Linked DNA regions of Stegostoma tigrinum. The main gene of each other region encodes a partner of the protein of the gene in region 2 in a complex. Links are inferred from orthologs where the notes say so. Each region holds a gene or a part of one and is shown on either strand. Other genes may lie near its edges.

Region 1 (6,823 bases), on a different chromosome or scaffold from region 2:
TAATTATCACCTTCCTCACGCTTTACATTCTTGATCTTTATTTACTGCCATCAAAAAAAAATGCCGTAATCTCCCTTCAATGACCTGCTTGTGGGCACAGTCTGAAGCTGGAACGTTCACAAATTTGCCATTACAAACAACCCTGATCTGAACTTCTGACCCTACATCCTCTCTACTGCCAAAACTGCCACTTACATGGTTGTAACATCACCTGTCCTAAACATGCCTCATTTCATCTACCGATGAAATCTAGTTGATGCCTTAGTTAGTTGTATATTTATTACCAATCTTTCCACACTGGTGAGCTTCCGACCTTGCAATGTCTTCAAACTTGAACTCATCAAAAACACAACTGCCCATTTGCTAACCTACGTCCCATTTACTTATGATAGCAGGAACTGCCAATGCTGGAGAATCTGAGATAACAAGGTGTAGAGTGGGATGAACACAGCAGGCCAAGGAGCAGAGGAGCAGGAAAGCTGACGTTTTGGCTCAAAACCCTTCTTCAGAAAACCAGACGCTCTACACCTTGTTATCCCACTTACTTATCACCTGTTTGCTGTATTGGCTGCCTGTCAGAAGGCAGAGGGTTGGGATAAAAGGCTCTTTTTCGGAATGGCAATAGGTGACGAGTGGTGTCCCGCAGGGTTCAGTGTTGGGGCCACAGCTGTTCACCTTATATATTAATGATCTGGATGAAGGGACTGGGGGCATTCTGGCGAAGTTTGCCAATGATACAAACATAGGTGTGCAGGCAGGTGGTACTGAGGAGGTGGGGAAGCTGCAGAAAGATTTAGACAGTTTAGAAGAGTGGTCCGGGAAATGGCTGATGAAATTCAATGTGAATAAATGTGAGGTTTTGCACTTTGGAAATAAGAATACAGGCATGGACTATTTTCTGAATGGTGAGAAAATTCGTAAAGCAGAAGTACAAAGGGATCTGGGAGTGTTGGTCCAGGATTCTCTAAAGGTTAACTTGCAGGTAGAGTCCGTAATTAAGAAAGCGAATGTAATGTTGTCGTTTATCTCAAGACGGTTGGAATATAAAAGCAGTGATGTGCTTCTGAGGCTTTATAAAGCTCTAGTTAGGCCCCATTTAGAATACTGTGTCCAATTTTGGGCCTCACAGGTCAGGAAGGACAAACTAGCCCTGGAGCGTGTCCAGCGGAGATTCACACAGATGATCCCTGGAATGGTAGGTTTAAAGTATGATGAACGGCTTAGGATCCTGGGATTGTACTCATTAGAGTTTAGAAGGTTGAGGGGAGATCTAATAGAAACTTACAAGATAATGTATGGTTTAGAAGGGGTAGACGCTAAGACGTTGTTTCTATTAGGAGGGGAGACTAGGACCCATGGGCACAGCCTTAAAATTAGAGGCGGTAAATTTAAAACTGAAATGAGACGACATTTCTTCAGCCAGAGTGTGGTGGGCTTGTGGAATTCATTACCACGGAGTGCAGCGGAGGCTGGGACATTGGATGCCTTCAAAGCAGAGATCGACAAATTCTTGATCTCAGAAGGAATCAAGGGCTATGGGGAGAGTGCAGGGAAGTGGAGTTGAAATGCCCATCAGCTATGATTTAAATGGCAGAGTGGACTTGATGGGCCGAATGGCCTTACTTCCACTCCTATGTCTTATGGTTTGAACTGACTTAAAATGATTCCCATTCAGGTATTCCCTGATTTTAAAAATCTTCTTGTTTTCAACTCCCTCCACAGCCATGCTTCTTGCCCTTTTCCACTTGAACAATTCTACCACACATCTTGCTCATTCCTGATTTTCACTGCTTTACCACTCGCAACCATGCCTTCAGGCTCCAGGATCTGAAATACCCTTCTTACACGTCTTTAGTTCTTCCTTTAAGATGTTGTTGAAAGCCTGTCAAATCAAACAAGCTTTTGGTCACTTGTCCGAATGTGTCCTTCTGTGGTTTGATATTCTGTCAAGCACTCTGACCTTTTGCTTAATGCAACCCTTAGCCTGATTCATCCAATCCAATCCTCAACTGTCTCCTGAATTACAACCTGCAAGAATTCCAGTCCACAAATATCCAAGTCCCAGCCTGCATTTAACAGTACACTCCCGTAATATCCACCCTCCGTAAATATGAACTGAAACGCTCACGAAAGCAAAATAAAATTGTCATCTTTAAACTTCTTCATATCCTCACGCCTGTCTGTTCTACGAATCCCCTGTTTAGCTGAGGCAAACTGCCACTGCCTTGATCTTAAACTAACCGACATCCTAGCCTACTTCGGGACTGAACCTTCAGCCAGGTTCTTCCGAGAGGGGCCAAAGCTTCAGCATTTGTGTCCCACCCTAGAATGCAACTGACACTATGCAAATACAAGAGATTCTTAGAGCTAAATCTCGCCGGTAAAGGAAACATTTCAAAAATAAATAAACCAATCGCATTAAATGCAGAAGTTCAAATAATTAAGGTGTTCAGATAATGTTTAAACGGTTGCAATGCAAGTTAAATTATAAAAAAAACACCACGCCCAGATCACAAGAAAATGCAGCGGGTGCAGCCGTCAGGCAGGGACTTCCTACTGAGTGAATGAACAGTTCAGAGTCTGTAAGGAAGCGGGCCACCCGGACTGTACAGCCCCGGTACCGCTCTCTCTGGGACTGCATCCTCAGGTACTGTTCATTCCTGAGTTGGCCCGAGGGCCTAGAGCCCCGGTACCGCCGCTTCCCCACCTCCATCTTCCCCACCCGACGCCCGCGGCCCGAACTCAGGAAGGATATTGCCTGATGGAAGCGTCCACTTCGACTTCGTCGGGACCCAGCTGGTTCTCGCCTCCTTCCTCTTCGTCCACGTAGTTGTTCTCGTCGTAGTCATCGACATTAACCCGACGGAACTTGTCGGCGCTGGTGTTCTTGGACATGTCGCCGGGCAGAGGAGAGACAACACGGAGCAGCTTCCAACCGTCACTCACTGAACTCGAGGCCACCGCTTCCGCACGGGGCGGTCTTGGTGCGGGGGGGGGGTCAGAGGTGGAGGGAAGACCCGCTCCACTCTGCGCCTGCGCACCGCCCCAAGCGCGTGCACGCCGCGTACGCGCATAAGCGCCCCCGAGACCTGCCCAGGTGAAGCGTGAGCGCTGTGTCGGTTCACAGCAACTGAAGGTTGATGTCGAGCTGTGCAGCACGGAAACAGGACAACCAGGTTATGCCGAGCATAATTCCAAACAAAACTAGCTCCACTGCCTGCTCCTTCCATACATTTCTCATCCGTGCTCTTTTGGGTATTTTTGATATTTTTCTAAGCAACCTGTTCAAGGGTGTTGTTAACACGCCTTTGGAAGCAGGTGGGACTTGTATTTGGTCTCCGAGTCCAGTGCGCTATACGACCCTCTTTACCCTCAGAGACTGCAGATCCTGGAGTCAGAGATAACACTGTGTGGAGCTGGAGGAACGTAGCGAGTCAGGCAGCATCAGGGGAGCAGGAAAGCCAACCTCGACTTTTCTGCTCCTCTGATGCTGCCTGACCTGCTGTGTTCCTCCACCACAATTGGAAGATTGACACTGAACATTTATCCTGGTTGTTTCATAACGTTTCTATTCCAGGGCGGGGAGGGCAAGAACTCAGCCCCCTTGGTCAGAGGTGAGAACACTACCACTACGCCACAAGACTTTCTGTGACATTCTTCTCCAATTGTTGCTGAATTGCAGTGAGTCTTACCATGCTGTAGCTTGCATTGTTGATCTAGGTTTATGTTTCTAACTCAGAGGTAAGACAAAGTGAAACAAATAGAATGTTGACGAAGCTCAGCAGGTCAGGCAGCATCTGAGGTGTAGAGAGAAACAGAGTTAACATTTCAAGTCCGCATGACTCTTCTTCAGACCTGATGACAGGATGAAGTATATTTGGGCAAGAAGAAAGGGAGGGGGCACTTATTATCTGGAAGGTGTGAGCATCTGATGAGCAGAGGAGCAAGGCGAGCTGCGAATGCAAATACATCAATCACTAAAGCCTGTCCACAAAAATGGGAACCCTTGCAGTGGGCTTTATTTCTAGACAAATCAAATTGAAAGTGAGAGAAGTGATACTGAATTTGCCTGGCTAAAATCTTGGTAAGCTAAGACAAAAGATACTGTGGCATTCCTGTGTTATAAAAAGAATTTTGAGGCAGTGAAGTGGGATTAAAGAAGGTTTACAACACTTACTTCCCAAACGTTTTCACATTGTGACCCCATTTTGGCATCTGACAACAAATCTGAGCCCGGATCTGGAGGTATGGTGGGGTGTTGAGGTAGGGGGAGATAAAAACATGGAAAATAGGAACAGGGGTTGGCCATTTGGCACTTTGATCCCGCTCCTCCATTCAATATGGTCATGGCTGATCATTCTATACAATATCCTGTTCCTGCTTTTGTCCCATACCCTAAGAACTATGTCTGATTCCTTCTTCAAAACATTTAATGTTTTGCCATGAATCACTTTCTGTGAGAGAATTCCACAGGCTCAGCACTCTGGGTGGAGAAATTTCTCCTCTTCTCAGTCCTGCCCATAACCTTTGGCTATGACCCCAGGTTCTGGAATCTCTGGTCATTGAGAACATCCTTTCTGCATTTACTATGTCTAGACCTGTTAGAATTTAATCAGTTTCTATGAATCGTGAACATAGTCCTAATCGGTACAATTTCTCTTTGTATGTCAGTCCTGTCATTCCAGTTAATTCTGTCATTTGTTGCACTCCCTTCGTAGACAGAACTTCCTTCCTTAGGTAAGGTGACCAAAAGCGAACATAATACTACAGTTGTTATCAAGGCCCTGTACAAGATTCTATAGCAAGACATCCCTGCTCCTATATTTGAGTCCTCACATTGTAGCTGGCAACACACCATTTGCCTTCTTCACTGCCTGCTCCATTTGTATACTTGTTTTCAGTGACTGGTGTATGAGGACACACTAGCCTTGTTGCACCTCCGCCTTTCCCAATGAATTGCCATTCAGATAATAATATGTGAGACCTGGGATTAACAGAATGGAACTGCTTCATCCATAGACTTTTTACATTTAAACAACACCTAGTTATCCACAAAATTTATCAACACATCATTCAGGCCTCAAAGTTTGGCTGCTTAGGCTTCACTCACTGCAAAAAATTTCCAACAGTTTAAAGGGGAGGTGCAGCTTTAAGCATTTAGTCAGATTTCCATAACAGCCTTTTCTGCCTCCCAGTGTGACCCCAGCATTTCAATTCAGGACTGATTTGTGTAGATGATACCTTAACAGCGTGGGCATGTTTAATCAAAAAGGATTGTCAGACTGGGTTTGTTTTACTTGTGGAAAAACAAGAATGATGGATCACCAAATAAAGGCATTTAAAACAAACATAGAGAGTGCTGGAGAAGTTTAGCAGGCCTGAAGCATCTGCGCAGAGAAAAACAGAGTTAATGTGCTCAGTCCAGAATGAAAATACAGGAGCATTTTACAAGCTTCACACAAACCCGCTCTGCAAGCTGTTTCTTGTAAGTTTCGAGATCGCTCAGTGTACTAAAGCCCTGAGAGAAGAAGCTGGATTGTGCATCTATGAGTGACATCATCTGGAACCAATCAGATCAAAATTCAGGTGGCACAGAATACCACTGTTGCAGTTACCCAAAAATATTTCAATAGTTTAAAATAATTAGTGCGTACATGACCCAATGGATGTGGGTATTGCCCACCTAGTGTGGTATTCTGTGAAAGGTACATTGCATTGTTCATTTCCTGGCCTGTGTACATATATCTAATCTCCTTCGGGGTTCCACGTCCCATGGTTAGCATCTAAAGGGGAGAAAGCAACTGTGCTTCCAATGGTCGGACATCATCTATAGATTGTTCTTTGAAAAGAAAGCTTTGGATAACGATATTGGCCAAGCCATATTTTTAATGATACACATTATCAATCAAGCTGCAGCTATTATGAACAGTGCCAGGGAGAAGAGAGTACTGTTGTGAGAAGTCCTGTTAACATCAACAACAATGTCAAGAGTTAATAGTTAAGGGAGTAAATTACACCTAAAATCCAGCCTGGATTCCCATTTGACAACCGAGGTTTCTCTGAAATTTGTACCTCTTAGCAACTCCTCCAACTGATTAGGGCCTAACCTTGGTTTTCCCTCCTTCCTCTGGATAACAGCCTTTGGTGAGGGCAGTAAAGTGCCACGTAAATTTGTACATGTTGAAGTCACGATATGGAGATGCTGGTGTTGTACTGAGGTGGTGAAGGTCAAAAATGACATGATATGAGGTTATATTCCAGCAGGTTTATTTGAAGGCATGAGCTTTTGGAGTCTCACTCCTTCTTCAGGTATCAGTGAGAGAGGTGGCATCGGATGCAGAATTTATAAACAAAAGATCAAAGGGTCATAGAACTGATGTGATGTTGAGCAATTTAAAATGGCTATTAAATATTTAATCAGTTCGAAAAGATTAATATGCAAATTCCTGAATTTCTCTCAAATCACAGCCCAAAGATAAATAAATGCTTTATCAGTTCCCTCAGTACACTAGAGATGACAAGCCAGGTCAGACAATGCATTTTGAGTATGAGGCCTTGTTCTGTATCTGGCTGTGCATCAAGTTTAAGACCTATGCAGCTGTAACAACACCTGTCTTCAATGCAAAAAACAAAGTCTACATGACGCACAATGTAAATTAATGGCTAAGTAAAAACCACATGACCTTAAACCGGCCAAGAAACCCATGCAAAAGATAGAGAGAGATAATGTGCAAATAAACACCAAATCAACTTATAGCAGGAAATCCAAATTGCCTGTGACAATAGAAATTCACAGACTATATATGGAGGGATCAAGAAGGTG
Region 2 (7,312 bases):
CTTATAGACTTCTGATCTTGATCGCTCTTGTTGCTCCACACATCCGCCTCAGTCTGTCCACCTCATCAGTATCCTGTTGTGCCTCTCTTCCTGGTGTTGCCCCGATTGCTGCATGATAATAGGCCACACTGGCCTGTAGATTCTCCCTCTGAGTTTCAGTAATACTTCCCAATCACAACACACCACTGTCCTTCCCTAATTACTCCATTCAGACCCCATCCACCTTCCAGCACCAGTGACCTCCTGGTACTCGCTTTCTCTACGTCTTCACCAAGATTCTTTATACCTTCTCTAGGCTCAAACTGGAAGTGCATAAATTGGATGCAATTCTTTGCTGGAGAATACGAATAACCTGACAGGTTTATATGACAACATTGTTTCATAATTGCGATGGCTGATCATAAGTTGATCATCTGAATAAAAAGTTAACTTAAAATCCACATGTGCCATAGTTGGATTCTGAAATGCTGTCTTATGATAACAAGTCTTGATCTTGAAAATCATTAATCCAATCATGCAGCTCAGCCTGTGTTTCACAGCACACAGTGCAACAAGCGATACAGAAAGATCAAATCAAGTTTCAATCACAATGCTTTCCAAAAATGTGCTGATAGATTCGCTAGCAGTAACTTACACAACCTCTATTTGTGTTGAGCTATGAACACTGGTGCACAGGGGTCTCAAATCTCATGAAAAACAAACACTTCATTTCTAATCTTCCTCTCCGAAGTCTGCTGCTTGCTGTTTATTGGGTAAATCAAAAATTGCTTTCTGACGAGAACATAATGCATCACAAAATTCAGACATTCAGGCAGGTCAAACTCAGTTGGCTTTGACTCGTCTCCTGAAGTTAAACTTTGCACTGAATTTCTATACAGTACATTTCTGCAGCCCTTTCCAGACGTCCTGAGATCACAAACTGCAGAACAAAAATAAAAGTAATTCTTTTACACAAGATTATGAACACAATTTGGAATCGCGGGAGATTAAACAGAACTGTTCCAAATCCTTAGAGAAGTTTTTAAAATCATGCGAGGTAGAGATGAGGGGAATAGTCAAGGTCTTTCCCTTAGGGTAAGGGAGTCCAAAACTAGATGGTGCAGGTTGAAGGTAAGAGGGAATAGATTTAAAAGGGACATGAGGGGCAACTTTTTCACACAGACGCTGGTGCGTATAGGCAATGAACCCAGACGAAGAAACAGACGTGGGGACATTCACATCGAAAAGGTATCTGGATGGGATGTGAATAGAAAATGTTTAAGACCATATGACATAGGAGCAGAAATTAGGCCATTCGGCCTATCGAGTCTGCTCCGACATTTAATCATGGCTCTTAAGTTCCTCAACTCCATTCTCCCGCTTTCCCACCGTAAACCTTGACCCCCCCTTGATAATCAAGAAGCTATCTATCTCAGTCTTAAATGTACTCAATAACCTGGCCTCCACAGCCTTCTGTGGCAGTGACTTCCATAGATCCACCATTCTCTGGCTGAAGATGTTTCTTCTTATGTCCGTTCTAAAAGACGTTCCCTTGACTCTAAGACTGTGTCCTAGAGTCCTAGACTCCAATGGAAGCATCTTCCCAACATCCACTTTGTCCAGGCCATTCAGTATTCTGAAAGTTTCAATCAGATCGCCCCCTCAAGTCCTCTCAAAATAAATGCCAACATTGCATTTGCCTTCCTGACTATGGACTCAACCTGAAAGTTTACCTTGACAGAATCTTGAACTGGATCTCCCAAGTCTCTTGGTACTTCAGCCTTCTGAATTTTCTCCTCATTTAGAAAACAGTCCATGCTTTTAGTCTTCTAACCAAAGTGCATGACCTCACACTTTCCCACGTTGTAATCCATCTGCCACTTCTTTGCCCAATGTCCTAACCTTGTGCTGCCGAACCAATTCCTCAATACTACCTGTCCCTCCACCTATCTTTGTATCGTCCACAAACTTAGCCAGAATGCCCACAGTTCCTTCATCCAGATCATTCATGTACAAAGTGAAATGTTGTGGTCCCAGCACTGACCCTTGTGGAACACCACTTGTCACCAGCTTCCATCATGAGAAAGACCTCTTTATTCCCACTTTCTACTTTCTGCCAGACAGCCAATCTTCTATACATGCTAGAACCTTGCCTCTAACACTGTGGGCCCTTATCTTATTCAGCAGCCTCCTGTGTGGCACCTTTCAAAGGCCTTCTTGAAGTAGAGGTAGACAACATCCATTGGCTCTCCTTGGTCTACCCTGCTCGTTACTTCCTCAAAGAATTCTAGCAGATTTGCCAGGCATGACCTCCCCTTGATGAAACCATGCTGACTTTGCCCTATTTCACTCCACTTCCAAATATTCAGAAATCTCATCCTTTACATGGATTCGAAAATCCTACTAATGACAGACGTTAAGCTAATCAGCCTATAATTTTCCATTTTTTTACCTTACTCCCTTTATAAGCAGGGGTGTTACATTAGCAATTTTCCAGTCCCTGGGGCCCTCCCTGACTCTAGCGATTCCTAAAAGATCACCACTAACGCTTCCACTATCTCCTTTAGAATTCTGGGGTGTAGTCGATCTGATCCAGGTGATTTGTCCACCTTCAGGCCAATCAGTTTTACCAGCACCTTTTCCTCGGTGATGGCCACCATACCCAGCTCCACCCCAGCTCTCTTGAATTTTTGGGATATTACTCATGACTTCCACCTTAACAACTGCCGCAAAGTAATTATTCGGTTCCTCAACCATTTCCTTGTTCCCCACTATCTCTCCATCTTCATTTTCCAGTGGTGGAATGTCCACTTTGGGCTCTCTTTTGCCCTTTAATATACCTAAAGAAACTCTTACAGCCTTCATTTATATTACTGGCCAGCTTACTCTCATATTTAATCTTCTCCCTCTTTTTTTTTGTTGCCTTCTGTTGATCTTTGTAAGCTTCCCCGTCCTCTGTTTTCCCACTGCCCTTTGCCACATTACTAATTACTCTTTTATTTTTATTCTAACCCTGACTTCCTTAGTCAGCCTTGGTTGCCTCATCCTCTCTGTACCATGCTTCTTTTTCTGAGGGATGAATTTTTGCTGTGTCTCCTGAATTACTTCCAGAAACTCTCGCCATTGCTGTCCACTGTCTTTCCTGCTAGGCTCTTCTTCCAATCAATTCTGCCCAGCTCGTCTCTCATAACTCTGTAGTCGCCTTTATTCAGTTGTAATACTTCTATCTTCTCCCTCTCAAATCACTGCTTCCTAAGGGTTCCTTTACCTTTAGCTCCTTTATCAAGTCTGTCTCATTGCAAAACACTAAATTCAGTATTGCATGTTCCTTCATGGGGTCCACCACAAGCTGTTCCAAAAAGCCATCTCACAGACATTCCACAAACTACTTTGCTTGCAATCCACTACCAACATGTTTTTCCCAGTCCACTTGCATATTGAAATCCCCCATGATCACTGTGACTTTGCCTTTCTTACACAGCTTTTCTATCTCCTGGTGTATCTTGCACCCCATTTTATGGGGATAAGAGCCAAATGCTGACAAATGGAACTAGTTTGGTTTGGGATTCTCCAGTGGCGTGGATAAGATGGACTGAAAGGTCTGTCTCCAGTTTGTATGACAAAGTATCTATCAAAGGAAACGAGCTGCGTTGTCGGAGGGTCAGCGCCGAGCGAGCGGGCAAACCGTCGGAGGGTCAGTGCTGGCGGGGCGCCGCACTGTCGGAGGGTCAGTGCTGACGGGGCGCCGCACTGTCGGAGGGTCAGTGCTGAGGGAGCAGGTACTCTTTAGAACTTGGAGAACTGCTGTTGTGGGTGTAAAGGCCGGCACGACCATCATGAAAATACATCACCTGCCATAGCCTCCTGGACGGTGGCCGAGGCCCCGCGGCCGGTCGCCAACAGCAACCGGGCCTTGTCCACCGCAGCCAGCGAAAAGGCCCAGGTTCCAACGACCGCCGCCGCCATAGCAACCAACCCTGCACTCTGATTGGCCCCCTTTAGGGACCAATCACATTAAAACAATCATTCAAGCTGAGAAGAAATGTTTTGTTAAGCTTTAAAGAATATCAGATCACAGTACAAGAACTAGAACTTAAAAGATACCTTAAATATTCTTCAAAAAGACTTATTTTAGACTTCCCCCTCCAATGTCCCGCCCACCGGTCGCTTCCCGAAGTTTATTGGTTAGCCGGGCGCGGAGCGTTATCAACCAATTAATATTGAAGTGTCCTTACCGACCCCGCCTCCTCACTGCCAATCAACGGCACTCTGCCCACCTCACGTCAATCACGACGTTTCTGGCAGCACCCGGCCACGCCTATCGGAAGCGGAGTGTCACGTGGGAACGGCGCGCCCTCTGGAGCGGGAGCGAGCGGACAGTGATTTCCGGTGTCGGGAGGCGGGTGGAAAGTTTCACCGGGACAGAGGGCGGTAGCGGTTCGGGAGCGGACCATGGACAGCCAGGGTAGGAAGGTGGTGGTCTGCGACAATGGCACTGGGGTAAGTGCTGGCTCTTCGGCCCGCCGTCCCAGGGGAAGGTATGAGGAAGTGAGGCGCCGTCTGGGATTGGGGGAGGGGGTGGTATCTGAGGCAGTCACACCACCACCTCAATAACCCACTAACCCACTAACCCACCAACCCACCAACCCACTAACCCACCAACCCACTAACCCACCAACCCACCACTCTCCCACCCCCCCCCCCCCACTCTCCCACCCCCCCCCCACTCTCCCACCCCCCCCCCCACTCTCCCACCCCCCCCCACTCTCCCACCCTCCCCCCCCCCCACTCTCCCACCCTCCCCCCCCCCCACTCTCCCACCCTCCCCCCCCACTCTCCCACCCTCCCCCCCCACTCTCCCACCCTCCCCCCCCCCCACTCTCCCACCCTCCCCCCCCCCCCACTCTCCCACCCTCCCCCCCCACTCTCCCACCCTCCCCCCCCACTCTCCCACCCTCCCCCCCCACTCTCCCACCCTCCCCCCCCACTCTCCCACCCTCCCCCCCCACTCTCCCACCCTCCCCCCCCACTCTCCCACCCTCCCCCCCCACTCTCCCACCCTCCCCCCCCACTCTCCCACCCTCCCCCCCCACTCTCCCACCCTCCCCCCCCACAATTCCACCGCCTCCTTCCTTCCCCACCCCCTGACAATTCCACCGCCTCCTTCCTTCCCCACCCCCTGACAATTCCACCCCCTCCTTCCTTCCCCACCCCCTGACAATTCCACCCCCTCCTTCCCTCCCCACCCCCTGACAATTCCCCTCCCTCCTCCTCTCCCCAACCCCCCCACAATTCCACCCCCTCCTTTCCCCATACCCCCCCTGACAATTCCACCCCCTCCTTCCTTCCCCACCCCCTGACAATTCCACCCCCTCCTTCCTTCCCCACCCCCTGACAATTCCACCCCCTCCTTCCTTCCCCACCCCCTGACAATTCCACATCCTCCTTCCTTCCCCACCCCCTGACAATTCCACCCCCTCCTTCCTTCCCCACCCCCTCCTTCCTTCCCCACCCCCTCCTTCCTTCCCCACCCCCTCCTTCCTTCCCCACCCCCTCCTTCCTTCCCCACCCCCTCCTTCCTTCCCCACCCCCTCCTTCCTTCCCCACCCCCTCCTTCCTTCCCCACCCCCTCCTTCCTTCCCCACCCCCTCGTTCCTTCCCCACCCCCTCGTTCCTTCCCCACCCCCTCGTTCCTTCCCCACCCCCTCCTTCCTTCCCCACCCCCTGACAATTCCACCCCCTCCTTTTCTCCCCACCCCCTCCTTCTCTCCCCATACCCCCCTGACAATTCCACCCCCTCCTTTTCTCCCCACCCCCTCCTTCTCTCCCCATACCCCCCTGACAATTCCACCCCCTCCTTCCCTCCCCACCCCCTGACAATTCCACTCCCTCCTTCTCTCCCCACCCCCCCCACAATTCCACCCCCTCCTCTCCCCATACCCCCCCTTACAATTCCACCCCCTCCTTCTCTCCCCATACCCCCCTGATAATTCCACCCCCTCCTTCCCTCCCCACCCCCTGACAATTCCACCCCCTCCTTCCCTCCCCACCCCCTGACAATTCCACCCCCTCCTTCTCTCCCTACCCCCCCACAATTCCACCCCCTCCTTCTCTCCCCATACCCCCCTGATAATTCCACCCCCTCCTTCTCTCCCCATACCCCCCTGATAATTCCACCCCCTCCTTCTCTCCCCATACCCCCCTGATAATTCCACCCCCTCCTTCCCTCCCCTCCACCCCCTCCTCTCCCCACCGCCCCCACAATTCCACCCCCTCCTCTCCCCATACCTCCCCCTGACAATTCCACCCCCTCCTTCTCTCCCCACCCCCTGACAATTCCACCCCCTCCTTCTCTCCCCACCCCCTGACAATTCCACCCCCTCCTTCTCTCCCCACCCCCTGACAATTCCACCCCCTCCTCCTCTCCCCACCCCCCCCACAATTCCACCCCCTCCTCCTCTCCCCACCCCCCCCACAATTCCACCCCCTCCTCCTCTCCCCACCCCCCCCCACAATTCCACCCCCTCCTCCTCTCCCCACCCCCCCCACAATTCCACCCCCTCCTCCTCTCCCCACCCCCCCCCACAATTCCACCCCCTCCTCCTCTCCCCACCCCCCCCACAATTCCACCCCCTCCTCCTCTCCCCACCTCCCCCACAATTCCACCCCCTCCTTCTCTCCCCATACCCCCCCCCACAATTCCACCCCCTCCTCCCCTCCCCACCCAACCCCCCCTCCACAATTCCAGCCCCCCCTCCCCTCCCAAAATTCCACCCCAAACCCCCACGTTTCCATCCCCTCCTCACCCTCCCTGCCAACCCCACCTGCTTTCCTTGACCTCCCCAACACCATTCTTCCACTACTTTATCCCTTTTCACCCATTCCCCCTGCTTCCCCCAAAATCTGTGTATTGGAATTGCAAGAGTTTAACTGTTTGTCTGGCTGAGGACGTTTGCTGTTTGCAAATTGATTGCTGTCTTTTCTGCAATGGTTTGAACATCCTTCAAAAGTCATGAGCTTTAAAGTTAGAGAATGTCGTAGGAGAATTGTCTGTTAGGTTTGAGTAGTTTTCTATCAATGTATCCTTCTACTATTTTCTCCATTATATGCTTCTTTAAGTTCCCTTCAAGGGCATCAGAGCTGCTGGCCTCGACTGCTCCCTGTGGTGATAGGTTCCGCTCACCATTCTGGTGAAGCCATTTCACTTGGATTCTGACTGGATTTATTTGTGGTAACATTTTTCATAGTTGCCAGTTCTTGTCCTCTGCACAAGTGGAAGCAAGTTTTCTTGTTTCTGTCAGACATACCATAATTTCAGAGATCACTATCTTAT

Evidence for each region.
Region 1: actin-related protein 2 (region 2) and actin-related protein 2/3 complex subunit 5-like share a complex: the UniProt entries of both Homo sapiens proteins name them as parts of the arp2/3 complex. The link is inferred for Stegostoma tigrinum from reciprocal best matches to the Homo sapiens genes ACTR2 and ARPC5.

What each region holds. Positions count from the first base shown.
Region 1 is NC_081361.1:45,984,425-45,991,247, forward strand, and holds the start of actin-related protein 2/3 complex subunit 5-like, read right to left. Parts: upstream 3,008-6,823; 5' UTR 2,896-3,007; coding exon 2,755-2,895; intron 1-2,754. UniProt on the Homo sapiens protein: Component of the Arp2/3 complex, a multiprotein complex that mediates actin polymerization upon stimulation by nucleation-promoting factor (NPF).
Region 2 is NC_081362.1:2,370,225-2,377,536, forward strand, and holds the start of actin-related protein 2, read left to right. Parts: upstream 1-4,308; 5' UTR 4,309-4,431; coding exon 4,432-4,479; intron 4,480-7,312. Other genes in the region: zgc:153169 (N(4)-(Beta-N-acetylglucosaminyl)-L-asparaginase), read right to left, coding at 3,831-3,945. UniProt on the Homo sapiens protein: ATP-binding component of the Arp2/3 complex, a multiprotein complex that mediates actin polymerization upon stimulation by nucleation-promoting factor (NPF).